4 linked regions of the Rhinolophus ferrumequinum genome follow. The protein of the gene in region 1 interacts with the protein of each later gene in a pairwise test. Links are inferred from orthologs where the notes say so. Each region holds a gene or a part of one and is shown in the gene's direction. Other genes may lie near its edges. The genes, in order: HOMER3, EIF3D, MOS and FRYL.

Region 1 (8,438 bases):
ATGTGTGACCCTTTCTCTTTCCCTCAGTGGTCCTCCTCCCCCAGCCTGGGGGACAGGAGGCTCTTCTGTGACCTCCCTTGGGGCTGCAGGATCCATACTCAGGGAAGCAGATGTTTCCGTCCTGTTGGAGGCCTGGAATTTCAGAGATAAGAGGGCTTCAGAGGGGGGAGAGAGAGGGAAAGAGAGAGAGAAAGAGAGAGAGAGGGAGAGAGAGAGAGAGAGAGAGAGAGGAGAAAGAAGGGCCAGATAGAACAGAAAGGGGGTTATTGAGACAGACTCCCTCCCCAAGGCCCTGGGAGTGATATGAACTCAGAGCCTGTGGCCAACCCCAAAGATACAATAATAGGGCTGATAACCGTCATTTGTTATCAAGCACAACCCAGGATACCCTCTGCCTCCAGATAACAGAGGAAGAAAGTCTTAGGATCACCCTTCTCAGTCCATCTACCATGTGGCACTCTGGTGAAACTTATCCAGCACATGTAAAAACAGATCCTGACCTTCTCCTGCTCAAAAGCCTTTCATGGCTCCCCAGGGCTCTGAGTATAAAGTCCACACTCTGCTGGGGCCCAAAAGGCTCCTTGCCCACCAGGCTCCTCACTATCCCCCCAAGTCAACCTGTTCCGGCCACACCTGCGTCCTCAATGCTTCTCCAAGGGGCAGAGCACATTCCCACGTCAGGGCCTTTGCACATGCTGTTCCCCTTCTCTGAGCAGCCTTCACCAACTACGGGTCTTTGCTTGTTGCTTTGTCTGTTTTTCTCTACTTTGCATAAACTGTCGGAAGTCAACCTACTTGTTCCTCTGTTAATCATCTGTCTATGCACCAGATAGCTGTGCACTCCCTCAGGGCAGGGCCTCCCAGAGTGTTGGGACACAGGAGGTGCTCAATAAACATGAGTTAACAGATAAGGAACCACCATCTTACAGAGAAGGAAATAGAGGCCCAGGGAGGCCCCCAATGTGTCCATGGAGACAGGCTCTCCCACCCTGGGTGTCTAAGCCCAGACTGTATCAAGTCCACCTGCAGGCAGGTGATGCCTCCTCCCCTACCAGTGTGTAAATAAGGCTCCAAAGGCTGCAGGGAGCAGGGCTTGGCTCTCAGACCCAGTTTAAAGCCAAGCTTTCCACTTGGCCAGTTTTGATTTGGAGAATTGGTTTAAGGCCCCTGAGCCTCAGTTTTCTCTTCTATAAAAATGAAGTTAGAGGTCGGGCCCATGGGGTCCTGTGTTAGGCGAGCACAGCAGGGGTCCTCCCCAGTGTCCCCTTTGTGGCCTCCCACACTGGGCGATGATGGGGCCCTGAGAGGCCTTGGCCTGAGCCTGGATTCTGAGAAGCCCTGATCTGAGGTGGGGGCAGAGATAGCCCCCTCCTATGAGGTCAGGGTTGGAGGAGTAGAGGGAGTCTGGGAAGGCTTCCTGGAGGAGGGAGTGTTGGAGATGAATGCAGAGGTTCAGATGTGGGGTCCAGCAGTGTAGCCAATGGTGATAGGGAGCTGGATTCTCCCTTTGAAGCCTCCAGGAGAGCCATGAAAGGTGCAGGAGCAGGAAAGTGAGCAGTGCAGCCAGTTAAAGGGATCCTGGGAGGCAGAGGGAGGGCTCGTTTGGGGGCGTCCCAGAGAGGTGAATCCTGACTTCAGTCTGTGCCTGGAGACCAGGAATGGCCTCCCCTAGCAGATCAAGGGAAGAGGCTGCCACATGTGAGTCACCCAGTTCCTGCAAGAACATTCAGCACCCGTCGGCCCCGCGTAGGCTGTCACCAAGCAGGAACACAGCCCCCGGAGCCCCTCCTCTCCGCCTTCCCTGAGGCCTCCCGCTCTCTGTTCCCACAGCTGTTCCTTCAAGGCCGCAGAAGGAGAGTAGGAGGACAGGGCAAGCAAAGGAGAGCCCATGTAGACTGCTTGGCCAGAATTTGGGAGTTTGGGGGGAGGAGAGCTTCCCTGGCTGAGGGTCCAGTGTGCGCGCTGGGGCTGTCTAAGCCTCAGGACTCTACCCAAGATGGGGAAACTGAGGCTCAGGGAGGTTCTGCGCCCATTTTCCACATATATAGACACCTGGTTCTCTCCTAAAAGCTAAAAACCAGCTTGGAGCCTGCATTGTAAATCTGATCACGTCTCTCCCTCTCTGGCTCCCAACTCTCCCATGGCTCCCAAGTACCCTTGGAATAAATCCAACACACTTTATCATAGCCCATGAGGCCCCACCTGGCCTGTGACCCCCTCAACCCTCAGAATCCCCTACTCTCCTCTCACTCTGGCCACCTGGCTTCCCCACTGTTCCTCCAATGCACCCAGCCCATCTCCACCCCAGGGCCTTGGTACATGCTGTGCCCTCTGCCCAGAGCACACTGTGTGAGTTATTATCCCCATTTGATCCCTCAGGAAAGATGCAAAGAGAGGACGTCATGTGCTCAGAAACACACAGCAAGTCAGTGGTGCTTGGTGTTCCCAGCCAGGCCCATCTGACCAGCCCTCCACAGCAAGCCCTCTCCCCCCGATGGTGCCACGATTAAAACAGGCCTCCAGACCAGTCCACCTCAGAGCTGATTCTCAGCCCCTCCAGGTCTTGCCACCTCCAGCTATGTGCCAAAGACCCTCAGGCCTCAGGCCAAAACCCCTGCTCAGGGAGCTCCTGGGCCAACCCGACCCACACATCTCCCAGTGTCCCTCCTGTCGTGGCCGCAATTTCTTCGCCCCACTTTCTGCCCTTCACGCTGGTGGATGGCAGAGCCTTCAAGGACGGCATAGCCAAAAATAATCGGTCCCGACCTACCTCCCAAAAGTGGAGCAGCCCCCGCCCAGCCACCTGGCACCACAGAGGTAATTAGTGCACGTGGCAATGAGGGTAATTAGGTCTGTGGGATCCAGGTTTGGAGTTGGGAGGGGGCACAAGTGCTGCCACTTCCCACCCCTGACCTGCCCAGGTCCTGGGAGCTCAAGTTCATAACCCAGGGCTGGACCCCTTCCCTCCTCAAGCACCTGTGTGCCTGGGCCTGAGCCAGCGGGCTCCATTATTTCCTGGGGGCTGTTTAATGAATTAACCTTAGCTTTGGGCAGAAGTTGAGTTAGATATAAAATAAGGCAGAGTTACTATCACCAATATCGAGTCATCAAACTCTCCTCTGCCATAACCCCCATGCATCCACCCAATGCCAGGAGACGCCAAGCTAAAGGGAAGCCTCAGCCCAGCTCTTGAGGTGCCTCAGGGTAGCGGAGTCAGAGTTAGACACAGACACCGGCAGCCCCTTGGGGTCAGAGTTGGGCCAGAAGGAGGGAAAGTGTTGGGGAAAATCTAGGGGAAGAGGAGGGAGGGCTTCTCACAGAAAAGAACACTGGAGGTGGGGTGTTGAGGGACGATTAGGAGTTTTCCCAGAGGATTAGTTCTGGTAGCTGGCTCAACTGGACATGGCTGGGGGAATGGGGAGAAGGAAGAGGAGGATGGCTGGAGGGGCACATAAGGGACCCAGAGCTAAATATTTAGAGGATATCACACCAGGTTGGACCAATTTTGTCCCCAAGAGCTTACACCTGGTTGGAATCCTTCACCCTCTAACAGAGAAAATCTTAAGAACTTTGCTCAGGATCAAAACCACATGCCCAGACAGCCAAGAATAAATATAATGTTTATAACAGTGAGCATTAATTAAGCTCCTAGGATCATGCCCTCTTCATACAAGGACTTGGGTCCTTACAGGAAACCTCAGAAGTGGGCACCATTCTTATGCACATTTATAGGTGGGGAAACTAGGACACAGAGAGGGAAAGTGGCTTCTTTAAAGTCACACTTCTGGTAAGAGGCAGGGCTGGGAGTCACTTTCTGGCTCCTGTGACTCTGGAGACCACCAAAGACCAATGTTGGGATCTAGCGATCCCTTCCTTCTGGAAGCATTTACAGAGGATCTCCTGCAGGTCAGGCTTGCTCTAGGTGCTGGGCAGAGCTGTGAAAGAGGTGGATGGTAACCAAATCATGCCACAACAGATATAGGTAGCCACTGTGACTCATGTCCTGTAGCTGGGCATGTCCCTTTGGAGAAGAGTGACAGACTTCCCCTCTTCTGGTGGGACAGGAACCCTCCAGAGAGGACAGAAGATTTAGCTTTAGTACAAAGGTTGGGTCACAATAAATAGAGGCCATAAGCGCCACTCTGCAAACTGCTTCCCTAGAGCCCAACAAGCCATTCTAGTCCTCGCTTGGTGCCTCCTATGACAGGTTGTTCATTCTCTCATGTCCTTCCTTAGTCCCAAGGGAAAGCTGTTACTTCTAGTCAGCCACTCTGGGGTGGTGCTTCTGCCCACCCTGCAAGGATAGACCCAAGGAGAAGTGGGCTCAGGCTGGGGTAAGGGTGGCAGCTCAGGGAAGCCCCCTACCCATCTATACCCAAGAGAGAGTGAGGAGCTGCTGGTGTCACCTGGATCCTCACTGCTTCCTCCCCAACCCCAGGCCAATGCTCATCAGCCCATTCTCCAGGTGAGAAAACAGGTCTGTACTGACAAAGCCATTCCCTCAGTTTGGACTTGACTAAGACAACTTCAGGTCAGGGTTGCTCAAGGCCAGCAGCATCCCAGCCCCTCCTGGAGCCTGAGAGGGGTGTCCAGGAAAGGATTCAACTCCCCACTCTCTCTCATGCTGTTGCCTTCTGCCCACACAAGGAGGAAAGCTGGCCTGGGCCCTTCGCCTGCCTCCCCCTTGAATGGCCACGTGGCCCCAGTTCTGTAGCCGGCTGGCACTCAGCACACCCTAAGCAGCTTCCAGAAGACTCGGCCCTGCAGGCACCTTTCCAGTTACTTTATTATTATTTCTTTGGTAATAAGGAAAAGTCACTTTTGCACAGAACAGACGGTATTCTCTTTGTTCCCCACAGTGTTCAAGCATTTTGTGGCTTCAGGCCTGAGAGCGAAGCCAAATCTTTTGCTCGTACAGATGCCTTGTGAAGTTAGAAGCAGCCTGGGAAACTGAGTCTGTGCCTCTTTCCCCAGTAAGGCTGGGGGTCCAAGATGGGCTGGCCCTCCAGGAGCTCCCAGACCTGGCCGCACTGAACTAATAAACAGGTAACACACATCAGTTATCCGACAGAAAGGGAAAGGAGAGTGGGGCAGGGCAGAGCAAGATCGCTTCCAAGCCCAGGATGGTCAGAGAAGCTTCCAGGAGGAGAGGGGCGGGGAGCTGAGCCTCGAAGGACCAGGCAGAATATATGCCTGTCAGAAGGGCATTCCAGGTAGAGGAAACAGCTTGGGCAAAGGCCTGGAGGGAGGAAACTCAGGTTTTGGCCTGGGACTAAGTCTCTAGAATTCATCTAAAGGTAATTTGAAAGTAGCTACCAGTTTAGATGTGTGATTCTTGTCAGGCAAACAGAAATAAAAGAAGAGGGAAAGGAGATGTGACAGACCAAAAGCAAAACTTCTCAGGTTGTCAGAAAGCTCAGAGCGTCAGGGAACTGTGAGCCTCGGGCAAGGCCTCCTTGCCTCTGCCCACCGCCAAACGGCACTGTGCAACTTGGAGGCAAGCTCAGGCCTGGGGAGGTGATCGCAGCTCAGCCCCCTGAGGACCTGCTTCTGGTAAGTGTATGAAGGGCGGGCTCCCTCTGACCAGAAGCGGCAATCCAGGCCTGCGGAACTCCACCAGACTCACCATTCGGTGGGAACTGGACCCCGACCATCCCTAAGCCCTAGATTCAGGGATCCTATAACACACCAACGATCACCATCCCCTACGGTTGTTGGCATTGCCACAGTTGTCTTGTTACATTGTTGTAGTTCTCCGTCTGTCTATCTCCTGTGTCTCTACCTCCCCCCGCCCCGTCTCGGTCTCTGGGTCCCCCACCCCAGTCCCCTTCCCCGCCCTTACCCCCAATCCCACCCCTCTCCCCATTCCTATGGGCTCCCCCACCCCCAGCACCGTGGAGGGCCGGTAGAGGGCGCTGCGGGAGGCCTCGGGGCCCGGGGAGGCGGGGCGGGCGGCGGCCGCGTCGGGACCGACCGCGATGGGACCGGAGGCGGCGCGGGCGGCGGCGGCGGCGCAGACAAAGGCGCGGGCGGCACGGAGGGCGGCGCGGAGGGCGCGAGCCCCGGAGCCATCGAGAGAGCCGGGCGCCCGGTGCGGGGAGTTAGCACCGCTGGCCGCACCCGACTCCGCCCGGACGCTCACGGGGCGCCCAGCAGGCAGGGTGAGCCCGGCCGGCCGAGCTTGCGTCGGGGCGCGCGGGCCCCGAAATTCCAGGGCCGGGGAAGGGCGCCAGTGTCCCCGAAGTCCCGGACACGGAGGATGGGGGCAGCCGGAGGAATCCCGAAGTTCCAGGTCTTGCGGGGGCGCAGGGGCCCCTAAGTTCCGGAGCTCGGGTCGGGGAGGGGACAGTGCGAAGGATTCCCAAAGTTCCGCGCTCGGCGTCGCAGGAATGTGTCTCCCGAAGTTCCAGACCTGGGGCGGGGGTCGGCGCAAGGGTACCCCGAATTCTAGACCTGGAGATAGAAGTGTGGCAGGGGGTCCCCAAAGTTCAGGAATTGGGGGCGGTGCGGACGATCCCCGAAGTTCTGGACCTTGGGGTGGAGGAGGCAGATAATGGTCCCCGAAGTTCTGGTCCTGGAGTCGGGGGCGTCGCAGGGATCTCGGAAGTTCCAGGGTCGAAGGCCTCACTAACCGAAGTACTGGGCGCCCCGCTCCTGACGCGGGTGGGGACTCAATCCTGACTATCAGGCCCCCGACTGGGACGCGTGGGGTGGGGCTTCGCTCCCACAGGCAATTGGGGATTCCGGGCACCCGGCGGTTGGGCCCCCTCCCGGAGCCCCACCGCCGGCGGCGTCCGAGGCACATGACTAGTTGGTGAGTAACTTTCCCCAAATGCGCAAGTCTCTGCAGGAGAGTCCTGGCCTTAAGGGCGTGAGTTCTGGGACCCCTGCGCGCCGCGGAGCCCCTGCCAGACCCAGGACCCGCCCCCAACCCCGGCCAGAGTTGCCGCCCCTCCCCCACCAGGGGCTCCGGTTTCAGACCCTGTGACCAGGACAGCAGCTGCCCAGGAAGGGGGGGGACGTCCCCCTCTGACCACGGAGGCCACTTGGCCGTGCATCCCTTCCTCCAATGTGTCCCCCCTTCTCCTAGGTCCCTCCTGGATCCCCTGCAGATATCCTGGATGCAAGTTTGTGGGCGCGGGAGGGTCAGGAAGTCTCCCTGGGCAGCTGTTCCCGGCTTTGGTGGGAGTGGGGTGGCTAGAGGAACCAGCAGAGACTAGGCAGACCATCTCCCAATCCTGGGTCCCGCCCAACCCCCATGGTATTGGGAGTGAGTGCTGATGGTGGTCTGGCAGTGGGCACCTGTGATTGGTCCTGTTTGGCTACATCTTGTCTTTTTAACTAGGATGGGGTTCCCTGAAGATTTGGACTTTGACCCTAAGTCTGTGCCTGGGGCCTAGAGTGGAAGTGGAGGGGTCCCTCTGTGGGGCTTGTGGGAACTGGTTTCCCAGTAGGCACTTGGTGATGCCTCACTTTTTGCTGGAGGCCCTGGTTTGGGGAGTGATGGGTGAATGTGTGGGGAAATACTGAGCGGGAGCTGGCCTTGGCCTTCAGGACAATGAGAGATGGATGCTGAGATGTCAGGGGCCACCTGGCTCCTCTCAGAGAGCCATCTCCTGCCCAGAGTGTGGTAGGGGCTTCTCTGGGTGGAGAAAGTCAAGGTCTTCTTGCTCTGAGTGACCTACTGATTCCCTCACCTTTTTGATTGAAGTTCTGTGAACGGTGCACCTCGTGTTGGGTCCTGAGGTTGGACCTGCTTGGCCTCACTCAGCGTGTCCTGGTGGGACACTGACAAGCCCCTTCTCCCCCCAGAGGCCGAACCAGCAGCTCCTGCCACTCCTCTGGCTGCCCCTTGGAGCTCACCCAGCCCAGCTTGACCAATGTCCACAGCCAGGTGAGCCCCTGTCTCTACCGGCTTGGCCCTGAGCCCCTGGAGGTGCCCAGCCCCCACTGAGAGCCCTCTCCCCACGCAGGGAGCAGCCCATCTTCAGCACACGGGCACACGTGTTCCAGATTGACCCAGCCACCAAGCGGAACTGGATCCCCGCTGGCAAGCACGCACTCACTGTCTCCTACTTCTACGATGCCACCCGCAATGTCTACCGAATCATCAGCATCGGGGGTGCCAAGGTCCTGGCGGGGCCTGGGTGGGGCAGCAGGGGACAGGGGTCCCAGCAATAGGCCTGGGTCTGCTTGTTGCTGTGTGGCTACGGGCAGAGGGAGTAGGGAGCCCTGACCCTTTCTGAGCCTCAGTCTCCCTCCTGAAACGGCTCAGACCAGAGCCTCCGAGGCACTAATACAAAGTGGTCCTCCAAGGTCTGACGTTCATTATTAGCAGTCCCGTTAACCTTGAACTTTGCTCCCCTCTCCCCAGGCCATTATCAACAGCACTGTCACTCCCAACATGACCTTTACCAAAACCTCCCAGAAGTTCGGGC
Region 2 (7,935 bases), on another chromosome or scaffold:
ATTGACAAACTGGAAGGCATGGGGAAATGGGGACCGAGTGGGACTTGGGGTGACACCAAGAAATAAACAAAGGAACTAGAAATGTTTACCAAAAGGAAGTCCGTGAAAGGCAAAGTAGCAACATGAGAGGGGTGAGCTCCCCAGCACTAGGCACATGTAAGCAGAGGGGACAGCAACCAGCCGGCCAGTGACAAGGAAATGCCTGCCTGGAGGGAAGCGTGGACCAGATGAATGACTAAGAGGATCCTTCCAGTCTCGGCATCCAAGGGCTTGTCCTTCCCTCCTCGGAAGGTCACGTGGGCACAGAACGGGCCCCTTCCCTCTGCAACTACAACTCTCCCCCGCCATCCGCCCGACCTGCTCCCCTTGTCCTCCAGTCTCCGCTCAAATGTCACATCCTCACAGATGCCTTCCTGAACTCCCACCTTAGCAGCGCTGCACCCCAAATCGCTCCCTAACACACAGCCCTGTGGCAGCATCTTCACCCACTTCTCACATCTCTGTACACTTGCCCCATGTCTACCTCCCCCCACTTACAAAGCACCGTCCTGGAGAGCAAGACCTTCACCCATTTTGCTCTCTGTTACCTCTCCACACCTAGCTCCAGACCAGGCACACAGAAGGTGCTCCATAAATGTTTGTTGAATGAGTGAAAAAACCACATCCAGGTTTCTTCTGCCTCTCACTAGTTGCCTGACCTTGTGCTAGTGAGGTCACCTCTCTCAGCCTCGTTTTACCCTAAAATTGGTATTAAAATACTGTAGTCATGAGGCTCAACCGAAAGTAAGAACCTCGTCACTTATAAACTGCTGTGCTAATATTTGTTAACTGTGACTCGCAATAATGAAAAGTTAGTCATCTGATTGCCCAAAACAGTGTTTGTGTCTCTCCGGACTGGAAAGACACTGTGGAAGCTCCATTGCCTTTTGAGAAAAGGGCACCTGCCCTCAAACCTACACTTTGCTGGCAAGAAAGTTGTTTATTTTACAGTCTCTGAAAACAGAACGAGAAGGCCCTCGATTCCTTAACTATTTCCCGGCCACACTCTGTAGGCCAGGCCCTGTGCTGCACCATCAAACTTCAGGAATGCAGCCCCATGCTGGAGGAACCCAGAGTCTGGGGGAGGAGCGGTGGGGACACTGGTAACAGAACCAGAGGTGTGGTAAGTGCAGCGCTGGGGGGCTCTGCTAGGTGCTGTGGACACCTGGAGGAGAAACCTGTCCTCAGAGGTCACTCATGCATCCAACAAACATTTCCCAAGCACCGACTATGTGGTAAGCCCCATTCTCGGTCCTGGGGATACAACAGTGAAAGAGACATGTGAGACCACCCCCCACGAGGCTTACATTCTAATGAGAGGACAATAAATAAGTAAACAAACAAGATCATTTTAATGGAGATAAGTGTTAGTCACCCGGTAAAACACTAATGGGATATGCAGAAGAAACAGGAACCAGGCTGCTTCCGGAGTTTGAAACCCGGCTCTACAATGCACTTTGCAACCTACAACACCTCTCTGTGCCTCCATATCTTCATCTGTAAAATGGGGAGAATAGGACCCACCTCCCAGGGCTGTGGTGAGAATTAAATGTAAGTTCTTGGAATCGTACCAGGCACATGGTATGAGAGAGTGAATGAGGACAGGGCAAGGCTGCTCAGAGGGGTGGTCAGGAAACGCCTGTTTGTTGAGGACACAGGCTCGTGAAGATCTAGGGGAGATGCATTCCAGGCAGCAGAGAACAGCAGGTGAAAAGGTCTCAAGACCGGAATGAGCCTGGGTCTGACCCAGAAAGAGGCAGCTGCCAGTGGGAAGCTGCCATTTAGAAACTTGCAGGCCATGGAACAGAATGGGCTTTTATCCTCAGGATCAAAGTAAGCCACTGAAAGATTTTAAGCGTGGGAGGGAGGGAGGGTGAGCATGCTCTGATTTCATGTACAGGAGTCGTTCCAGCTTTCCATCGTGTGGAGAATGGACAGAGAAATAGGCAGAAGGAGGCAGCAGGGCTGTCAGCTGGGAGGAGGAATGGAGGCAACTCCCACCCAAACCCATGGACTGACTATTGAGAATGAGACAGGACACTTCAAATCCTCCTCCATCTGGGGTGGGCAGGGACATCTGGGCCAAAATATGGGAAAGATGATTAAACTCTGACATGAGAGAAAGACTGCAGAAGAAGGCTGTGGGCCCACAGCAAAAAAAGATAAAAGACAAAAGGCATTTACTAACAATTGTCACCCCAATAAACTTTAATTAAAAAAAAAAAGAACATGAAAAAAGGCAAAAGGTATGATCCAAGCAATTTAGCAAAATTACATCTCCTCTTATATTTTAGCATATATTACAATTTACTATTGATATGAAATCACACTAACATTAATTGAGTGCTTATTTACATGCCCAGGATAATATGCTAAATTAATTTTCTCATTTAAAATTCTCACAAAATCCCTATCCATTCATGCAACAATTCAACAAATGTCTATTACCAGGCACTGTTCTAGGTAAGCCAGACAAAGCCTCCATCTACCCTGGTGGAGCTTACACTACACTGTAGAGGCAGAGACAGAGCCTAAACAAGGAAACAAAATATATCAGAGCGTGATGAGAACTATGAAGAAAACAAAGCAGAGTAAGAGGGTGAGAGGGCCGGAGAGAGGAGCCACTGTTTTAGGAATGGTGGTCAGAGAAGATCTCGTTGAGATAACTCTTGAGTGGAAACAACAGATGATGAGACCAAGCCAGCATAGGTAAATTTGGAGAAGAGTATGCCGTGCAGAAGGAACAGTAAGTGCAGAAGCCCTGCTGAGATGGAAATAAGGTTGGTGTATTTGAAGCATAAAAAGAAGACCATGGTAGCTAGAGCAGGGTAAGTATAGAATGGCAGGATATAAAGTTGAAAGGTAGCTACGGACCAGACAGGTCACAGGAAGACATTCATATTTCACTCTAAGCACATAACGGGAAGCTGCTAGAAGGATCTGAACAAGTTGCTTTGACCACCATGTGGAAAAGGAACCCTAGAGGAGCAAGACTAGACACTGAGAGTCCCGGCATGAGGCTGGAGATGGTGGAGAAAACTGGTAGTAGTCAAGACGTATTTTGAAAGTAGAATAAAGAGGACTGAGTGAAGGGCCGAATGCGGTGGGAAAGGGAAAAGGAACTAGCAAGGATAACAGCAAGGTTTTGCACGGAGCATCGCTGACGGGGTACCATTAACAAAAAATTAGGAAAACTGGAAGATGGGCACATTCGGAGAGAATTTACGGAAACAGATGCTGCTATTAACATTTTCATTTTACAGGTAAGTTCACAGCTTTGGACAGATCGAATAACCAAGTTCACCCAACTGGTAAGCTGAATTATTATTGTCACATACATTTTTTTACCCTCACAGCATCCCCTTGATATTATCTCCAAGTCACAGGTAACTGAGGAAAGGGAGGCCCAAAAATGTGAAGGCTACACAGCTAGAGCGGCAGAGCCAATAGTAGGTTTGGGGTCTAATAGCATATTCTTGTCCAATACAGGAGACAGGCTGGGAGGCTGATAAGGAAACCTAGGAGGCAGGGGAGAGGATCTGAGGTTTGAATAAAATCGCGCCCTCGGATTCTCCGTCAATGTTCTGAAATTCCCCAATAGGATTCCGGGCAAACTCCGCCGGCTGGCAGTTGCGGCAAGGGCAGCATCGTTGGCCATTATAGGAAAGAGGTTCCGCCACTCCAGAAACACAGGGGCGAATGAAAACGCAGGTTCCTGGACTCCAGCTCAGACATACCTGAGTAACAACCTATGCAAGTGAGCCCCGCAATCTGTATTTTTCAAATTAGGGCTCCAGCAATCTCCGTCATACAAAAAAGTTTGGGAACTGCGAAAGTATGGTTTGAACCCTGGCAGCCACCCCCTCAACTAGCAGGCTGAACTACGCAGGTCACTTTACACCTCCAGACCTCAGTTTCCGAAACTGTAACAGTAGTGGGCGGAACGGGGCGGGGGGTGTAACAAAAATGTGCCTACGACGCCCGACGTGCCCCTGGGTTATTGTGGGATACAGAGGGGCCGCGGCGTCCCGTGAAGCATTGTGGGACAGAGAGGGCCTGTCAGCCATTCACCGCCTCCAGCTTGGGCTGCACGCCCGCCACGTCTCAATAAACCTGAACGCCCTCTCGGAGCGTCGCCGGATGCCCCATGACGTAACTGTAAACACCCCTCTTACATCTTGGCGCCGGGAAGGCTAACGAGGCCACCTCGCAAAGAGCAGTGACAAATTTCCGGGTGTGCCTTCGCTTTACGGCTCGCGCTCTGTCGCCGAACCCAAAGGAAGCTGGCGAGCCTTTTACGACAGCGCAGGTCGTGTTTGCGGCGCCGGTCGCTGCGCGCGCATCTTCTGTCCTTTCCCGGTTCCTCCGAGTGCAGCTGGTAGTGAGCTCTCCGGCTTGGACTATCTTTCGCCATCCGGGCCGGCTGAGGCCGTTGCAGGTGAGTGGCGCGTTCCGTAGCGTTCCGGGAACCTCCGGAGCCGGCTTGGGCGGGGAAGGCCTCCGGAAGAGACCCCCCCGGTATGTCCCCCTCTTGTCCCCGCTGTTCCTGCGCTGGGCGTAGCAGGAATCCGCCTTCGGAATCCCAGGCCCAGCGGGATGCGGGCCACGGCCTTGTGGGTGAGGTGCTTGGCCCGAGACGCCGCTTAGCGATCACGGGCTGGACGAATTTGATAATGTCATTTAACTCAGTTGGGTCGCAGGGTCTCGTTTAAGTGGCCAAAGGTTGTCTTGAGTTTCTGTGAGTGAAGTATTGGGAGCCAAGCTGAACGGTGTTCGGCTCTGCTCTGAGGAGTTGACAGCCCAGAGATTTCCTTCCCTTTAATGTGCAATGGAAGGCTAGAATGGAGTAGATCTGGTCTGATTTGAAACACACACACACCGGTATTGATGGCCTACGATCTGTAGTGGCAGCAGTAATCTGCACGACACTGTGGTCCCCTAGAAACACAGCCCCTTCTGGGTGCTTCTCCATTCTGCCCCGGTAGCCTGTATAGCTGTCTCTCCGTTCTAACTGCAGAGCTCAGTTTGTCCTACTGGTTCCATTCTGCTCACTCTTATTTTACATGTGTCAAAAGCGGACTTCCTCCCCCTGGAAAAATGCCTGTCAAGCCTTGGGCCTATTTCCTTCCTGAGCTCTGGCAGACAAGCAGATTTTTTTTTAAATGTATTTTGAAACATCACTGTGTTATTAAATGTGGTCAAAAACCCCAGATCTTTTGAGGCTGCTGTGCAGCTAGAATATAATGGGAAGAATGCTGCACTTATGGCAGACAACCCTGGAAATCAAATCGATTTTGAAATGATAGGCAGATCAATTCCTTGATTTGGCTGAGCTGCAGATTTTTACCTTTTAAGTGCTGGTTGGGGGAATTAGTGGCTAACGTATCTAGCATGGTGCCTGACACTTACTAGGAGCTCAGTAAATATTTATTGAATGTGAATTGTTTTGAGACCGCCACCCCTTCCTCAGTCCTCTTCCTGGAGTGTAAGTTAAGTTCAGAGTTGGAGGATGCAGCTCCCAGGTTCATTCTCTTGCTGTCACCCAGCTCCTGTTGCTATCACCTCTGTAGGAAGCCTTAGTCTCCCCTTCATGGGACAAAGAGGAGAATTTACTAAATTCAGTATCCAGTGCTCTTTGATTGCACTCCACCTGTCATGTGGGGTCTCTGGTCCCACTCCCCACACAAGAACGCAGGACATGGTGAGGCCAAAAAGGAACACCCACGGAGCCATAGATAGAGGAGTCATACCACTATTATTCTCGCTGGCGGCTGGTTGGAGACACAGGAATAGGAGCCACACGATCTGCAATCTGCCGTCCGCTTCTCTGCCAACCAACCAACCAACCAACGCAGCCAAGGCAGTTATATTAGTGGCTAAATGGCTCACTGGTTACAGCTGATGGCCATCACTACCTGAGCCAGCACCCCTCCACGTGAGGCTGAGAGCCTGCAAACTGCTCTCTGGGACTCTGTCCCTACACCACCCTCCAGAAATATTTGTGTAATGAGTTTTCCTCCGGGAACTCACCTTCTGAGCATTTTCAGAGGCTTGCAATGGATGGTGGGTACATGGGTTTTTGACAGGAACTGTCAGCTGTCTGTCAAGCATCCGTTGGGAGTCCTTGGTTTTTACTCTCCTCAGAGGAGCTATAGCATTAGGCAGAGTGGACTCTGGAGCCAGACTGCCAGGGTTTAAATTTTTCATCAACTAGCATTGCAACTTTGGGCAATTTCTTAACTTCTCTGTGCCTCAATTTTCTTATCTAAAAAATGGGGATAATACTGGCCCCTACCTCAGATTGTTGGGGGATTTAGTGAATTTCTGCAGGTAAGCACAATGGACAGTGCCTGGTACTGAAAATACTTATGAACATTTGATCAGTGGCCACTTTGATGGCCGAAGGTTTCTGGTGATCTCTTCAGCTTTCCGGAAGGCCTTTTGCTTGGCTCTGTGTCCGCTTGTTCTGCATAAGGATTTGCGTTGATGACAGGAAATTGGAAGAACAAGAAAAGAAAGTTGAATTTCAGGGTATACTCACAGACTTATTTTTCTTAGACTCTATGTAAATGTATTTTTGCAAGTCTGAATAGTAATTGTGTGGCATTTTACAATGAAAGTATTTCCGTGTGTGTTAACTAATAGGACTTTTCACAGTGATCCTCTGATATAAATAAAATAAGGACCTTACTTATTTTACAGATGAAAAGGCTGAGGCTTAGGGAAGTTAAATATTATATGCCATGGTGAAGGTGTTTCTGAGAACCAGAACTTGGTTATTACACTTGAGAAAAAGTTACTACATTTTATCCAATCTGTGAGACACCACCAAGTTTAACCAAGCATGATTATTTTATTATAACACTATGAAAGAAAAACTGTCATTTATGACACCCAATCGAGCATAAGGTGCAAACTGATTTCAAGGATGTTCCAGTGGGAAAAAATGAAATATGGTAACTCAGTTTTGTCAGCAGCCTTCTGAGTTAAAAGTATTCACAAGAAGGGCGTAACTAACAGGGTTCCATTTTGTGTGTGGTGTTTTTTTTTTTAATTTTATCATTTATGTCTTAGTTTACCTCAAATAGAAGCCTTTTTTACTTGGAGGCCTTTCTTCATGCAGCTACTTATTTATATTTTGTTAAGGTTTGGAAGATGGCGAAGTTCATGACGCCCGTGATCCAGGACAACCCCTCTGGCTGGGGTCCCTGTGCAGTCCCCGAGCAGTTTCGGGATATGCCCTACCAGCCATTCAGCAAAGGAGATCGACTAGGAAAGGTATTTGCCTATCGGCAGGAGTTTAGACCTTTTAAGCTGTGGCTGCTACTCTCGACGAGTTCGTTTCAATTTTATCCTCTCAGAAGCATGATTCCCGTGTTCCTGATAGGGACACCAGCTGAGAAAGGTGGTCACCTCTGGCTACTTCCAGTAGTCACAGGCAGCTGGGCACTTACAAAGGCTTTGTGAGCCAGTCCTGCTACTTGCCCACAGTGTCCTCACTTTTGGGGGTTTCTGGGTCAACAGAAAATTGCCTCATTGACCTGTGCACTGTCTTCCCTTGTTGCCCTTACCAGGTTGCAGACTGGACGGGCGCCACGTACCAAGATAAGAGGTACACGAGTAAGTGTTCTCCGACTGACTGCCCGATCAGGGCCGTGGGAAAACCATTCCTTTTTCTGGTAACCTCCATCAGAAACTTCTAGGATGGGAACCTGCTGATAATAACTCCCAGTGTTTAGGAGCATGTTCTAGATTCTGGACACTGACCACATTTTTTTGGAAGTAGCCCCAAAAGTGAGACTGTTCATTAAAGATGGTGGACCTGTTATAGTGGGAGTTTTCCCCTACTTTTGGGGAGCCATGAACCCTTTTGCAAATCTGTGGAACATATTCCCA
Region 3 (7,430 bases), on another chromosome or scaffold:
TTATTCATTTATCCTTTTCGTTAGATTCCACATATAAGTGAGACCATATGGTATTTGTCTTTCTCTGTCTTGACTTATTTCACCTAACATAATGTTCTCTAGGTCCATCCATGTTGTTGCAAATGGTAAGATTTCATTCTTCTTTATGGCTGCATAATATTCCATTGTATAAATGTACCAGTTTCACTATCATGATTTCTAATTCCATCTTCCCAGGATACACTGGAGAAATGACTGATTCAATATCTGGGGCAGGGTAGATTATGAGCCTGGGGGTAACTTGCTATACCAGGATACAATAAATAATTCAGATTAATGGGACTGTGTCAAAAGAACAGAAGCATTGTAAAACACAATAATGATTGCACTTGGCTAAACCACATCGAATCTATGGAAAGCTATGAGTCCATAATGGTACATGGGAGAAAAATTACAATAAAGTTGAGTAAAGATGGTGAATTGAATAGCCTGTACTACTTCTGGATTTTTTTCAACATGTTATTTTGATTCATTTACTTTATCATTGAAAAATACAAAATTTAGTAAATATTAAATACATAATTTAAAAAAGTATTTTCTGCCTTAAAGAAGGATGTCAGTAGAATGATTCCATAAGTTGGACAAAGCAATTCAAGAGTGCCAAATTTCAGATACAATTTCAAATATCCATGAACATTTTATGGTCTTAAAAATGTGAAAAAATTTGCAAGATACCATTTGCTCAAAGGTCTTTAAAACCAGTTTGATAGGCATTTGTATGTCTTAACATCCTGTGAAGTTTAAAGGTAGAGAAGTTAGAAGTTAAATGTTACAGAAGTAAGCATATATTTATGTATCTTAAGAGTCAAAATCCAAAATCCAAATGATCATCCCAGATAAGAGTGACCAACCTCCATGAATGAACAAAAGAAGCACATAGTGTGTGCAGGTTCCACCCAGGGACATGATCCATGTGATCCAGTGTTAATATCTGTCAAGTGGGAACCTGTGCATATTTTGGACTTCATACATTTGTAACATATAAGAGAATTTGGCCTATTATAGTGATGGCATGTATCTCTAATTTAAAGTGTATAATTCAGTAATTTGTTTAAATTTGTTATTTTTTAGGGTATAATTGACATACAACATTATTTTAGTTTCAGGTATACAACATAATGATTTGCTAGCTACATGTCTTGCAAAATGATCACCACAGTAAGCCTAGTTAATATCCATCACCATACATACAGAATTTTTTTTCTTGTAATGAGAACCTTAAGATATACTCTCTTAGCAACTTTCAAATATGCAACACAATATTAACTATAGTTGCCATGCTATGCATTATATCTCCGTGACTTACTGATTTTATAACTGGAAGTTTGTACTGTTTTGACTCCCTTCACCCATTTTGCCCTGCCCCTGCCTTTGGTAACCACCAATCTGTTCTCTGTATCTATGAGCTTGGTTTTGTTTGTTTATTTTAGATTCCACATATAAGAGAGATCATATAGTATTTGTCTTTCTCTGCCTGACTTTATTTCACGTAGCATAATACCCTCAAGGTCCATCCATGTTGTCGCAAATGGCAAGATTTCATTCTTTTTTATGGCTGGATAATATTCCATTGTATATATGTACCACCTCTTCCTTTATAAGTTGCTGTGATTTCTCATCTAAGTAATATTCACTGAGATACCTAATTTTTAAATCTTTTGCTTAAAGAGGATCCCCCAGTTTGTATAAACTTTAGGCCCCACAAAACTTGGATCTGCCCGATCATATTATGTTGCAAAAACTAAAGTAGCTCTATATGTACTGCACTGACATGGAAACACATGTATGATATATTGCTAAATATAAAATTTAAATTTCAGATTAATATCAACAGTACAATCCTACATAAGTAAAAAATTTTCAAGTATGACTATACAATACAAAGTACGTGTATTCTTTATATCTTAGTTTTTAGTTCTAAAAAAAGCAAAAATGAATTTTCAACCTTAGTTCAGGCTTGTAAATAGTAATAAAAACACTTCAAAGACTCCAATATGAGCATTCTCTCACATTTTAACATTGAAATTTGGATGAAACCTGAGATCACTGGGAAATAGTCCCCGGGGTGGCACGATGTTCACTCAGTGCGCAAGCGCTGACATGGCCATAAGGATACGAGGTGATAGTCCTGAGTGGGGTTCTGTGCGTTGTTGTAAGACCATTGACTTTAAAGGCCTTTTAATAATGTCTTCCAAGAGCTTATGTGATGATTCTGACTTGAAGTGAAAATAAAATTCTGTGTATGCAGAAAGGCAAGGAAACAAAGCAGCTTGGAGTACATTTGACCTTTGGCAGCACATCGTCTTGGGGGTGACGGCCTCGTCCACGTGCTCCTCGGCACCCCCCCAAAGCAGCTCACTCACGGCCTCCACCACGCTGCGGTTCCTGATGAGGTGCGTACAGACTCCAGGGCCAGAGAGGCCTCGGGAGCCCTGCGTGCGGCCTCGTGCAGGGGAGGCGGCGATGGCGTTCGTCCAGCTGCATGAACAGCAGCCGCTCAACTCCTGTGACTTGGGGATCCCGGCAGGGAAACTGCTCTTAAGCGCTGGGCTGGCGAGGCAGGGCGCTCCTACAGCCGGCGCTGCCCTGGATCCGCCGCGCCCACGCTGGCCAGTAGCACTCACGCCCTTTACGCAGTGGGCAAGCCTTCGCGTGCACCAATAGATTTCCTCCTACACCCAGTGCTTCTGAATTCTCTTTGATTGAAATAGAATTCAATGAGCTATTAATTCCGGTATCTGTTGTCACGTCTTGTGATAAATATGCTGTTCTTTCTCTGATACTGAGGTATCCCATAACAGTCATGCTGCCAATGAAAGAGCAGAAAATGTAAAACCTTTTCTAAGAACCAGAGAGCCCTTTGCTCTTCAGTAGGTGCATGCACACAGTCTCTTTAATTTCTCTCCTTTGTTTCATTGGCAATTCTAGAGTAGATAGTGCCTACCCTGTTATCAGCAACTTTTATTCTTTGTCTTTGAGGACGACGAGGTTATTGCATTTGATCAGATTAATGCTAACCCTCCACATTTTAAACATATAAAAAGGCAACATACTCTTTTATCTTTAATCTCAAATAAAATTTAAGTGCAGGAAAAAATACTCAAATTAAACTCCAAATTGGTTTAGCTTATAATAACTTGCCTTGCTTCAGCCCTGGTAGGGTACAATCTAAACCAATACTATCTAACAAATCTGCTTCTTATTGGTATAAACCCATATACATTTTTAATGAGTTTCATAAATAATAATTAACATTTAGGTATCACTTATTAAGCTCTGACCTAAGTAGTTAAAACTATGTTAATCCTGACAACAATCCTGAAGTAGGCATATTTTCCTCATTCAGCAGATTTGGAAACGGAGGGACAGTAATAAACCCAGGCTATCTGGCCACAGAAGATATTTTAAAAAGGATATTCAATTAAGTACTCTTGTGCAGATTGGCAGATGACAAGTTTAATGAACTTGGGGTTTGTGAATGTACAGAGTACCACATTTTCATTAATACTTATATTTTATTTAAGTAATAACATCAAACTTTGAAAAATGAATTGTTTATGCTGTGATCTTAAAAATAGATTTTTGTGATAACAAGTTGCATTGTTTTGCATTGGGTGTCAATACCAAGGAGGTTAAGGCACTCTATTGCTCTTATTCGACTAATAGTCATAGCAGTCCTAATAACACAGAACAGTTTCAGAGCCCTAAAGTATAATCCCAACTATGTGATGACTATTGAATAAATTTTGCAATATTGACTTATTACAGATTATAATTTTATTGCTTTTTTATTTTACTCTATTCACTGTTATCCTTTTATATTTTGGGTCTGATACACCTTCATCTAACTGTGTTTCTATTAAAATATCACATAGTTTACATTTTTTAGATTTTTACTGTTATTAATCTGGCCAGGGCACCCCAACTTTTATTCCAAGATAAAAAATTTAATAATGATTATGCTAATTTCTTAAGTGAAAAGATGGAGGCTTAAACAGGTTAACTATTACACACCATATCACATACTAAGTCAAATGGATAGTATAGAGTAGAAATCCTATTTTAGAGTTCAAGAGACTTCAAAAGGGCTTGTGTTTATAAACATACCTTTTCAAAACCAACATATTTCAGAAGCATAGACCTATCATCATAAAAAGGTGGTTACACATTACCTATGTGCTCTAAGTACAAAAATTCTTAATAAAACTTTACCATTTGATTTTTAAAAATGTAGATCCTAACATTTTCCTGTGCTTTTTAATGAACAGGGTAATATTGTTGGTCCTTTTTCCAAAGATATGGAATGAAAATTAGTTTTTTTATTATAAAAATTAGAAAGGAAAAACTTATGGTTGGACAGCAAGACCATGAATTTAATTTCAACATCTGGTTTTCCACATTATATACAGGCACTAGTGATTCTGTGCCATTTTTATTTCTTCAGATTTTCCCTCTCCTAGGATTCTCTCATATTTATTATTACTTGAAGCTCTGATCGTGGCTCTGAATCATTTTTGTTCTTTTTTCTTCACCCAACTCTGCTTCAAAACTTCTGCAACTCATTTGCTGTGGAGTCTAGAATCTCTCTTGCAAGCAAGCTTACTGGGTGGGCTGAACTGCCGTGGAACGGAAGGATTGTTAGGAAGTCAATATGTTGCTAAGTCTTGCTAATTTGCTGTATATGCTGAATGCAGTATAAGAGACTTTTCCTTTCCCGCGCTGAATTTAGGAGGTGTATGTCTATGTTTTGACCTGTATCAGTGATTCTATTTGGATCGATTACTTTAAGGTTACAATTTTTTATCCATATATGAAGATTGCACCTAATTATCCCTGTAATTGGTTTAACAAATGTCAGCCGTTCATATTTCAACTCTTTCTGCCAATAACTGCTGGAAGTGATTTAATGCAGCTGGAGAATAACTGACAATCATTACAGTCTGCAAAGTGTGAAATAATTTCATTGCACTGTTGTGGTCTCTTTAGGCTGATAACTGATAATGTTCAGAGGATGAGATGTGAAAAAAAAGCCCGTTTTATTATAATAAAAAGTAGTGTAAAGGGTGACTCCTGGGGCAGCTCAGTGCTGTTTATCTGAGAGCTTGGTGTTATAAGAATTCACTGTAAGTGTTGAAGGGAAATACTTTCATCTGAAAGATACTGCTGTGCTTCGTTCAGATTGTTTTCTCCCATCTGATAGAAACCCTTGCTGAGTAACAGCACAGATGCGGCTCATTTGGGGAAAATGAAGGAAGAGGAGAAAAACGCTGGGGTGGAGCAAAGGAGTAGGCAGTCAGTCATGCTCCCAAACTCACGAGTGTTTTTCCTTTTCACTTACCTGAGCCGCTCTGGGTCCACTTTGAAGGGGCGATGCCCTCACCTCTCCCACGGCGCCGTTACCTCCCTGGGGAGTTTTCTCCTTCGGTGGACTCGAGGCCCTGCAGTAGCCCCTCCAAGCTCCCAGGTAAGGCAGGGAAGCTCTTTCCGGGGGCCACTCCTCCTAGGGCCCCACGGCTGCCACGCCGACTGGCCTGGTGTTCCATTGACTGGGAACAGGTGTGCTTCCTGCAGCGGTTGGGAGCTGGGGGCTTCGGCTCGGTATACAAGGCAACTTACCACGGTGTGCTAGTGGCCATAAAGCAAGTGAGCAGGTGCACCAAGAACCGACTGGCATCCCAGCGCAGTTTCTGGGCTGAGCTCAACATTGCTAGGCTTCGCCATGACAACATCGTGGGGGTTGTGGCTGCCAGCACGCGAACGCCTGCAGGCTTTAATAGTTTAGGCACCATAATCATGGAGTTTGGTGGCAATGTCACTTTACACCAAGTCATATACGGGGCTACCAGCTGCCCTGAGGAGGAGGAGGTGGAGCCTCACTGCTGTGCGGGAGAGCAATTAAATTTGGCAAAGTGTCTGAAGTATGCCCTAGATGTTGTGAATGGACTCCTTTTCCTTCACTCACAAAGCATTGTGCACTTGGACCTGAAGCCAGCTAACATTTTGATCAGTGAGCAGGATGTCTGCAAAATTGGTGACTTTGGTTGCTCTGAGAAGCTGGAAGATCTGTGCTTCCAGACTCTTCCTCACCACTTAGGTGGCACATACACCCACCGAGCCCCAGAGCTCCTGAAAGGAGAGAACGTAACGCCCAAAGCTGACATCTATTCTTTTGCCATCACTCTCTGGCAAATGACTACCAAGGAGGTGCCTTACTCGGGGGAGCGACAGTACGTGCTCTACGCTGTAGTGGCCTATCATCTTCGTCCGTCTCTCTCAGCAGCTGTCTTCACTGACTCCATCCCTGGGGAAAGACTTGAGAAGATCATCCAGGGCTGCTGGAGGGCCAGTGCATTCCAGAGGCCAAGTGCAGAAAATCTCCTGGTTGAACTTAATTCTTTGAAAGCTGAATTTGGCTGACTCTAAACCTATATCAAGATAAGCTTTTGTCTTTGTTTCTATTTATTTTTAAAGAAGTGAAGATGTAGAAAAAAAACATTTGTAGGATGGATTTTAAGAAAATAAAGTTACTAAATAAATACTCCTTTAGTCTCAAATGCTTTTTCTAAGACAAATAGCAGAGCTACAAATCTAGTAGTCATCTTAGTAGTTAGTAACTAGTCTTATTCTTTTATAGGGTTATATGCTTTGCTTTCACAGCTAGAGGGCTTACTTAACAGTTCCATAGTATTGCATTTATTTAAGTTTGTTACTGATAAAACCAACTTGTCCAAAACAGAACTGAATTGTAAAATGCCACAATTTTCTAAAATTCAAATAGCATCACCGTACCCACCACCTAAATTTAAACTATTAACAGTTTACTGGCTCCCATACCAAATAAGTAAAAACTTTCTTTGAAACAAAGATTAAATTTTCCCTGCTCCCTCCCCGCCCCCATTTCTTGTTTGTAAAGCACAGGTGCCCACTGTGAAGTGCAAACATCAAGGAAGAAACTCCTGAGAATGGAGCTGAGATCAAACTGAGCTGAGCTTATAAGAGTTGGTAGAGAAAGAAGGAACAGAAAGTGTTGATGAGGATCTAGCCATGACAGAACTCATGATAGCAAAATACCGTCCTGAACATTGAGAGGGTCACCAGGGGGTGGGATCCCAGAATACAAGACAGGCACAGAAGCCTCCTGAGCTTGGTTTGCTTGGAGGGAGAAGTATGGCTGCATGGAGAAACCCACATTTATAGGAAACAAATATGGCCTTTTGGGTGACTGATAAAGGAAGTCTTTGAGTTGTAGCAGAATACCCTGACGGGAGGTAGAATAAACATGTAGCTTGCTTCATCTGTAAGAGTCAAAAGAAATTATTTAAAGTTGACAAAGTCAGAGGTAAAAGCAAATTTAGCAGTGCAAAGGTAAATATCAAGGATAATACTATTGA
Region 4 (8,102 bases), on another chromosome or scaffold:
CATTGGTTATGTATATACCATGACCACATTTACCTAACCTCTCTACCGTGACCATCTCAAAAGTAGTAGTATAAAATTAGTAATAAAACTGATTCTTCCTGTAGATAGAATATTCTCCAAATTAATCAAGTGGAATGAAAATAAAAGTGGGTTCCATGTTAAATAATATATATTGAGACAAGATGAAAAGCTGTTAACATGCAACCCCCAACCCCCGAACCAAGACAAAAACCATCCCTGCTAAAGATGATTGTAACCTATAAAGAAAGTCAGAGAAGTGTAAATCAAATTTTTTCCAGGATAACCAAAGACATATGTTTATTTTATCAAAAATGGAAGTTGAAAATAAAAAGGTTGTGCATCTTCTACTAAAGAGGTATTGAAAATTCTAGACAAACATTGGGAAGTCTTAAAATGATACAGTGCTCTGACTGTGTGGTTACAAGAAAAGAAAACACATAAAATCATGGCATTAGTTTTTGCTATATCTGAACAGAAATTTATTCAGAAGTGAAGCAAAACAAAAGACCTAGACATCGCGGTACAAATCAATCCTAGATGAACATGTTGCAGTGTCCTAAAAGTGCTTCATACTCCAGTAGTAACTGGTTTTGTAATTTGCCCTAGAAGATAAAGTGAAAAGTAGTTTAAATTTCATTAAGTATAGACCAGTGCATGACCGTACTCGACAGAAATAATATGCTATTTGTCACATAAACTTTATTTCCTTTGAGGGAGAAATGAGTCCATGAACCAACAACAAAAATAAAGTATCCAGAATTATGACAGAATTCTAGATATGTTGTTAGTAGATTCAGAAATATATGGTGTGCCAATAAAAATTCCAGTAGGTCTGAATGATATTAAAAACAAGTGCATATGAATTAGTATTTTATTCATATATACCAGTTCTTTGTTTTCAAAGATTTGATTTTAGTCACGATTTAGTTGATTGTGCCTGTGAGTAAATGGAAGATCATATTTTGAAACTTGGCTAAAGGAATTTCAAATTAAGAAGTTTAAGTCCAAAGTTAATATTTTAGAGAGTAGTCAGTTTTTTCTGTTGGATTGAGGATTCAATTCATTAAGTAGCAAAAGAATTAAGACACCAGCTATGATTTAAAAGGAAGTTAATTTGAGTTCAATGCTAGATTTAAAATGCGGCCTATGTAGCTATTGAAAAATGCCAACATCTTTAATGGTAATAAAAGTATGGGATGTGCTTTTATTACATGTGTGAGACCTTATGTATGGTCAAACTCCCTGTGCTCATTGGTTTCATTCTGAGTAACCATCCAGTTGTTACAGATATGGTACAGTTGTTCACAGTCCATGACCCTCTCACAGATATTGTAATTGGACTTTGAAAAATATGTATCCCAAACATTATCTGTAGGTGGGATAAATATTAGGCCTAGTGGCCATATGAACGATTTTTCAAATCTGTTTATTTTAGTAAATAACATAAACATGTCTTCAATGTATTATTGAATAATTAAGTTATTGATGTATTGATTCAATCATTGGCTAATGAAAGCATTACTTGTCAATGCAAAGAAAACAAAGGAAGAGGAAACTTGTAGATTAGAAAGGCTTTAAAAGACTTAGTAACAATTGCCTATATGAATTTTGTTTAGATCTGGATTTAGAACAAACTGTTTAAAAAAACACATGATATAGTTGGGGAAATTTGAGCACTGATTGGTAGTTGATGTTATAAAGAATTTATTAATTTATAGTAGACATTACAATGATATTGGCTTATGTTTAAAAAGCAAATCTTTGTCTTAGAGAGATGCATACAGAATTATCTACAAATGAAGTATAAGGTATAAGGTCAGGAATTTGCTTCAGAATAATCCAGAGTGGTGAGATAGGAGTTGGGAGTAGGTATATGTATAAACGAAACATGATTTGCTATGAGTTAATAATGGTGGATTCATGATACTACTCTCAATTTTGCATTATTTAAAAATTTTTCACAATAAAAATTCAGGAGAAATGTAATGCAACATTATAGAAAGAGGATAACTACAGCAGTAGGTGATACTGCTATGTAATATTCAGAAGACTGATGGATATGAGTAGCACACAAATGTGCTTATTGTAAACATATCTAACATGTGAATTTTGTATTTTGTTTTTCATCAGAGACGAAGCCATTTATTTGAATCTTGGATGATTAATACCTAAATGCTTAATTCACAAAACTGCTCAAGAGTCCCACAGTCAGGAGTAGATGATCCAAGTTACCTCCAAGAAATTACTGTCTTGAGTTCTACGGTAAGATTATAACAAAATTATTTTAAAGGTTAAATAGTGACTGTGAGGTCTTATAAAGGTTTTTGGATCTTTTATTGAGCCACTAGTTTCTATTATAATTTCTTAATTCTGAAACTATTATACCAGGAGTTCAAAGTTGTGATAATCAACCAAAAATCATAGAAATATCATCATGCAAACAGGCTTTATGGCATTTCCTCTTCGGAGATTCAATTAGTAATGCATACAGTTTTGTCACAGGAACGTCATGCTTTCTCCTTGCTGTATTCTCAGGGTGGGTCCTGTGGAAGCTGATGCCGAAAAGGAATCTTCTGCCAGGGTGTTTTTTGGGGATCACCGTCTAATAAGAGAGGTGGTGTAGAAGCAGGTTGGGCAGAGGAAATTGAACTGCAGTGCAGGCTCAGCAAAGCCTTAGCCAACCCTTCAGGGAATCTGGTAGTTGTGAGAGTTTCTTTCCCTTCATAAATAGTAAGCTTCTGTGGGTAGAGCCATATCTTCAATGCCTGTGCATCTTTCATGGGCCTGTATCGTAGTTGCTCAGCAAATATTTATTTACTGAAGGAAATCTGAGAAAAATCTTGTGGTCTCTTCAATAACACCTAATAACATCCTTGCCCTTCGTTTCCCCAGTTGAAAGTGCAGTCAGAACGGTGGGGTTGATAGTGACACAGGTGGTGGCTTGTACATCACGAACGGACACGAAGGTAACTTGCCCTGTACAAGCAGTATGTGCTGTGTACCATTATGTTGCTGGGCTCCACAGATAAGGAAGACCTGCAAAGGAATCTGAGGAAAACTAAAAACATAAGTTTTAAAGAACATGAGATCATATCCATAAAGAGGAAAAAAAAACCCAACAAAGCCTGGAAGACACAGTGATAATTTCTAAGCTGTCGAGGCATATGGATTATGGTTCTAACCGGTGGTTTCTTCTGTGTGTGGGGTATAGTCTGCTCAGATGTGAATTTACAGCTTTTCATGTTCAAGGGTTTAGAGAGAGAATCTACTTCTTAGAAGCATTTTTTAAAAAAGTTAAGCTATTTTCCTAGTCAGTACATTCCTGCTTTAAGGAAAGAAATATTAGTCCTGTACTTGACTTCCTTGTTTCTTCCCTGCTTTTCACCGTAGGATTCCTTGAGACAGGATTTGCATTAATAAATCCTCTAAATTTCCCCTGAGCCTTAATACTATATAAACGTGTTACATGTAGAGGACCTTCAATTAATGTCTTTTAAATAATGAAATAAAAAATAGTTGACTTTATATAATCAATGTGGCAGAAAAATGAGGATTAAAAACGCAGCAATTCAGAACCAGAAATTTGTTTTTACATTAGAACAGTTTTTCCTGATATCTACATAGACAATTTTATGCTTTATCTTTTAAACTATATAAATCATTTTCTTCATGTTGAGTCTTAGAAGAATGAGGTTGTGCTTCTGTCTCACTAAGGGAAATCAGATTTTTAAATTATTATCAAATGTATGTCCTCAAGGTTATAAATTTGATTGCTTAGGGAGTTTACGCCTTATCTGTTCTCTTTGGTTTTTCATTTCCTTCTTGCTCACTTAATATCCCCACCAGAGGGCAGGCAAAAGAAGGGAAAAAAGACGATATTAATTTCAGTTTTCAAAGTCTTATGTAGGCATCTTCCACTGCGATATTTTGTCATGCTTCTGGATTACATTAAGACAGTAGGATCAACTACTTTTGCTATTTTAAAATATTTAGTATAATGCCTAGTTATTTGGAAACAAATTGTGTAAGGTTGATTACTGGGTTTAGTGAATTAAATATTTATACTTTATATTCTTAGATCCAAATTATTTTAAGTTATCACTTTCTTCTTGTAATTTATGCCAAGGATTCAGTTGCTGCTATTGATAATTACAGTTGATTGTATTCATTGGACATTGGACACATTGGAATGTTCATAATACAATGTAAAGTTTTAAATTTTCCTTTCATGCCCCATGAAACTTGATGTTCCTGAGGTCCATTAGTGAATTTTTAGAATTAAGAATTATCTTTTGACTGCAAGTTACTGTTTCTCACTTCAGTTGTAAGTTTATTTAAAAGGATGACACACCGCAGACCAAATTAAATTTGTCTTAACATTATCACAGTGTAAGTTTTCAAAGTCTAAATGTTAAACTAGATGAATGCTGAACATTTTATGGTCTCAATATTGCTGTTAACACCCATTGTAGATGTACAAGTAAAGTGCCATTTCATTGTCGATAACTGTTTGGTTTGTTATCAGTATGAACAGCAAATGTTCTAAAAATCAGCTTCAGAACAGCTGGCACTTGACCTACTGGTGTTTAGCACCACCTCAGCTCTCATGACGTTTCTTTGCTCTTTGACATAAATAGTGTACCTTATCTTCTCATCAAGGAAATTGGTACAAGCACCTTTCTGTGTGCTCGTAGGTCTAGTAATGTAGAACCTTAAAATGGATTTTTTAAAGAGAGTTGTTCCTCCCATTCTTTCTGGAGATGTGGTTTGGGATACTAGAGATGGTTTTCAGGAAAGTTCTCCAAGATTACTGAAGATGAGATGTCTTAGTTTGCTTTCATCGGAGAAAACTGTAGATGAGGAAGATGGAATCAATTTCTGTCATAGAAATTATGACAAACACCACCACCAACAACTTGGTAAAGTAAAAATGTTTCATTTTCAATCCCTTAAAAAGTATTTTAGGAAAGTAGAATTATTTTTACAAGTATCAATTCTAGTAAGCATAAATCTTTATTTTGAAAATCAAGTTTAAGTATTAAAAATGTTAATACATGTAAATATATAGTTGGTCTAAATTTTTTTAGTATCAAAATTTTTGCTTCAAGTTTAGATGGAGAAATATTTGTGCTCTAAATCAAATAAAGCCATTAATAAAATTAAGTTTGGTGATCTTTAGATAATATGTTGATGAAGTGTTATACTTATTGAAAAAATGTTATTGCTATAACCTGTAGAATATGTAAATGAAAAAAATAAGATGCTGAGTTTTACCTATCACCACAGAAATTGTGTAAATTTTGTTTTTAAAATATGCCCCGTTCTTTTGTTTTAAAGATAGCAAATATTTGAGTGAAATATAAAAAAGTCACATCTTTGAATATAATCATGATTATTTTGTGTCACAACCTTTATTTTGTATAACCCTGCAAAGTTAAATTTAATGCCTTTTAAAGTTTGAGCAAATGATATGTGTTAGGAGAAAAATCAGTTTTGCTAGTGACTAGCAAATATTAAAAGAAGATGGAAAAATTCTTTAAATTTTTACATTTTTGGTTAAAACATTTTAAAATGTTAAAATGTTCTGTATGATTATAAAATTTTTTTATTTTCGGAAACCAATAAGTGCTCATATAGTTAATATTTAATACAAAGAAGAGAGTTTATGTAAACCTTATGCATGTTTGATATATATTCTTATAGTTTTAATGTGCACATATACATTTTTATTTATAGAATTTACAAATGAGGTTTACTGTCCTAACTGTGCTTTTTCATTTAATACATCATAAACATTTTCCTGCCTCATTTAAAATGCACAAAATTGTGTTGATGTAATAATTAAATCAGTCCCTTATTGATAAACATTTAGAATGACTTTAATTTTTAGTTATTAAAAATTATGTAATATCAATTTATGTATTACATTATACCTTTGTTGATTGCTTCTTAACATAAATTTCTATGTGCATTTAAAATTTTGATAGATAATGCCAAGTTACCTTTAAAAAATTTCTCAATTTAAGCTCTTCAGGGCAGATGAGTGTTCCTATTTCTTTGTATTCTCCCTAACACTAGTTCTTGTCAGTTTAAAAAATAGGGTAGTATTTGTGAAAAATCAAACTTTGTTTTAAGAACATCAATTATGTAAAAGAAAGGAGAGGGAACTTTTAAGTTTAAAAAGAAATATATACATATATATTGATATCTACAATGTACTGGTATTTGAAGTTTCTTTTTATACTATTCACTCATTTGGGTGGATGAAGTAGAGGTGAGGCCACTGAGGAGTTAATGCCTCTTAATTTCAGTTAAAATCTGGAAATCTTTCAGCACTTAGTTTTTTGTCTCAACAATGCAAATATGCATAAGTGAAAAATATGAATATATTAACATGTGCATTATTTAAGTTATTAAAAATTTACTTTAGCTTTTAGCCTTGAATCACTTAGTTGTTTTCTCTACCACAGCTTATGTGGTTGGATTTGGTTTTTAATTAAATGTAATGTGTTATGCCCATTAGTTTAATATGGCTCCTTTTCTAAAAAAAAAAGACTATCTTATGTTTTTGAGTATAGCATACATGTTATAAAATGTAATAGATTTTGTAATTTATATTAATTTTCACATAAGCACTCAATGTAATGATTAGGAATTTTCCGTAGTATACTTGTATATCTTTTTACCAGTCACAGTCAAAACAAAGCAAAATCATGGAGCACTGAAGAATACGTGTATGTTGTCTGAAATTTCAGAGGCTACAGGTTCTTTGTGGAATAACTTGCCCAGTTTCTCTCCAAAAATAAAATTCAACTTGAGGGAATGACTGTTAAAATTAATTTAAAGGACTTCTTTGGCAATTTCTGTAGAGAGATTTGGTTTTAAAGTTTCTGGTTCTTCAATTTCAGTTTACTGATCAAACTCCTTTTCTTGAATCTCAAGATTGATACTAAAGTTATATTGTATGTAAGAATAAAACGCAGGTGGTTCGCACCAGTCTATACAAAGGTTACTTGCAACTCAGCATGAATGAATTTTTACTTCCTGTTTACTGGTGGTTCTGGGATAGAGATAATGTAGTAGTTTAGCCGAAAGTCATACAAATATGACTGGGTACAGTTCTTCTAAAGGGTGTTATAGTATTGTTCATTTAATGAAAGGAGAAATCAAATATATGAAGAGATTTCATATCAGTAATGCAAAGAAGGAACTACACTTTTAGCGAAAAACTGATGTGTAATCTCATAGTTTTGTATTTGGATCAGTTGTTTCCAACTTCTTTAGTTGTTAATTCAAAATTTAAAAAATTATTTCAAGGGATGTTAGACAAGGTTGTAATGTGAGAGGATCAACTAAGAATGAGTTAGATTGCAATATATCGAATTTACTTGCTATTTTTAACTCCAGAAGTATTTTAGATGTCTGTGGTTTCTTGAACAAAAATATGGGTAGAATTTGCAAGAGTTGATTTTTTTTTTTTTTGCAAGAGTTGATATTTTGAAGAATGTTTTTCTTTGCTTTTGATAACTTTTTTTATTTTTTAACTTTCTGTAAATATTAAGTAACCTAATATTTATAGATTTTTATAGAAATTCTCAAACAACTCACTGGATTTATCATAAGTCCTCTACAGAACATATTAACAAATGCCTGTAGTATACCACACTATTCAAATTCCCTGCCACCATTTCTGCTCCTAATAGGTTGTGTTGTGTGCTTACCAAGAATGGATTGTGTTTTATACCAAACCAGATATATCAATTGTACTTGTAATATAATTTAATTAGGTGTTACATAATTCAGCAAAGTAGGAGACTGAAAAAAAAGAGTTGTTTTGGTGTAAGCAACTTTGAATGCTTTGGTCAGATTCCACACAGGTGAATTCCTAAAAACAATTTGCTTTTGTATTACATGTAGGCCAGAGAAGTGTACATGATTGGAAGGATTTTGCCCTCAGATACCTTAAGCTTCTCATTGCACTTTGAAGAAATTGAAACTGGAAATTGTAGATGATATGTATGTACATGGGTTGAATTTGGCAAGAAAGAGAGATTTACCTTAAGAGACAAGTACTTCGTACT

The links.
Region 2: the proteins of HOMER3 (region 1) and EIF3D interact in binary tests that used the Homo sapiens proteins (3 or more experiments, as listed by UniProt). The two-hybrid records come from large-scale screens. The link is inferred for Rhinolophus ferrumequinum from reciprocal best matches to the Homo sapiens genes HOMER3 and EIF3D.
Region 3: the proteins of HOMER3 (region 1) and MOS interact in binary tests that used the Homo sapiens proteins (3 or more experiments, as listed by UniProt). The two-hybrid records come from large-scale screens. The link is inferred for Rhinolophus ferrumequinum from reciprocal best matches to the Homo sapiens genes HOMER3 and MOS.
Region 4: the proteins of HOMER3 (region 1) and FRYL interact in binary tests that used the Homo sapiens proteins (3 or more experiments, as listed by UniProt). The two-hybrid records come from large-scale screens. The link is inferred for Rhinolophus ferrumequinum from reciprocal best matches to the Homo sapiens genes HOMER3 and FRYL.

What each region holds. Positions count from the first base shown.
Region 1 is NC_046301.1:51,533,083-51,541,520, reverse strand, and holds the start of HOMER3 (homer protein homolog 3), read left to right. Parts: upstream 1-4,845; 5' UTR 4,846-5,046; intron 5,047-5,128; exon of another isoform or gene 5,129-5,553; intron 5,554-5,972; exon of another isoform or gene 5,973-6,161; intron 6,162-7,812; 5' UTR 7,813-7,880; coding exon 7,881-7,894; intron 7,895-7,973; coding exon 7,974-8,130; intron 8,131-8,374; coding exon 8,375-8,438. UniProt on the Homo sapiens protein: Postsynaptic density scaffolding protein. Binds and cross-links cytoplasmic regions of GRM1, GRM5, ITPR1, DNM3, RYR1, RYR2, SHANK1 and SHANK3.
Region 2 is NC_046293.1:10,163,943-10,171,877, forward strand, and holds the start of EIF3D (eukaryotic translation initiation factor 3 subunit D), read left to right. Parts: upstream 1-4,331; 5' UTR 4,332-4,477; intron 4,478-7,185; 5' UTR 7,186-7,194; coding exon 7,195-7,317; intron 7,318-7,613; coding exon 7,614-7,659; intron 7,660-7,935. UniProt on the Homo sapiens protein: mRNA cap-binding component of the eukaryotic translation initiation factor 3 (eIF-3) complex, a complex required for several steps in the initiation of protein synthesis of a specialized repertoire of mRNAs.
Region 3 is NC_046297.1:22,013,424-22,020,853, forward strand, and holds MOS (proto-oncogene serine/threonine-protein kinase mos), read left to right. Parts: upstream 1-5,409; coding exon 5,410-6,456; downstream 6,457-7,430.
Region 4 is NC_046288.1:7,822,014-7,830,115, forward strand, and holds the start of FRYL (protein furry homolog-like), read left to right. Parts: upstream 1-4,697; 5' UTR 4,698-4,738; coding exon 4,739-4,940; intron 4,941-8,102. UniProt on the Homo sapiens protein: Plays a key role in maintaining the integrity of polarized cell extensions during morphogenesis, regulates the actin cytoskeleton and plays a key role in patterning sensory neuron dendritic fields by promoting avoidance between homologous dendrites as well as by limiting dendritic branching.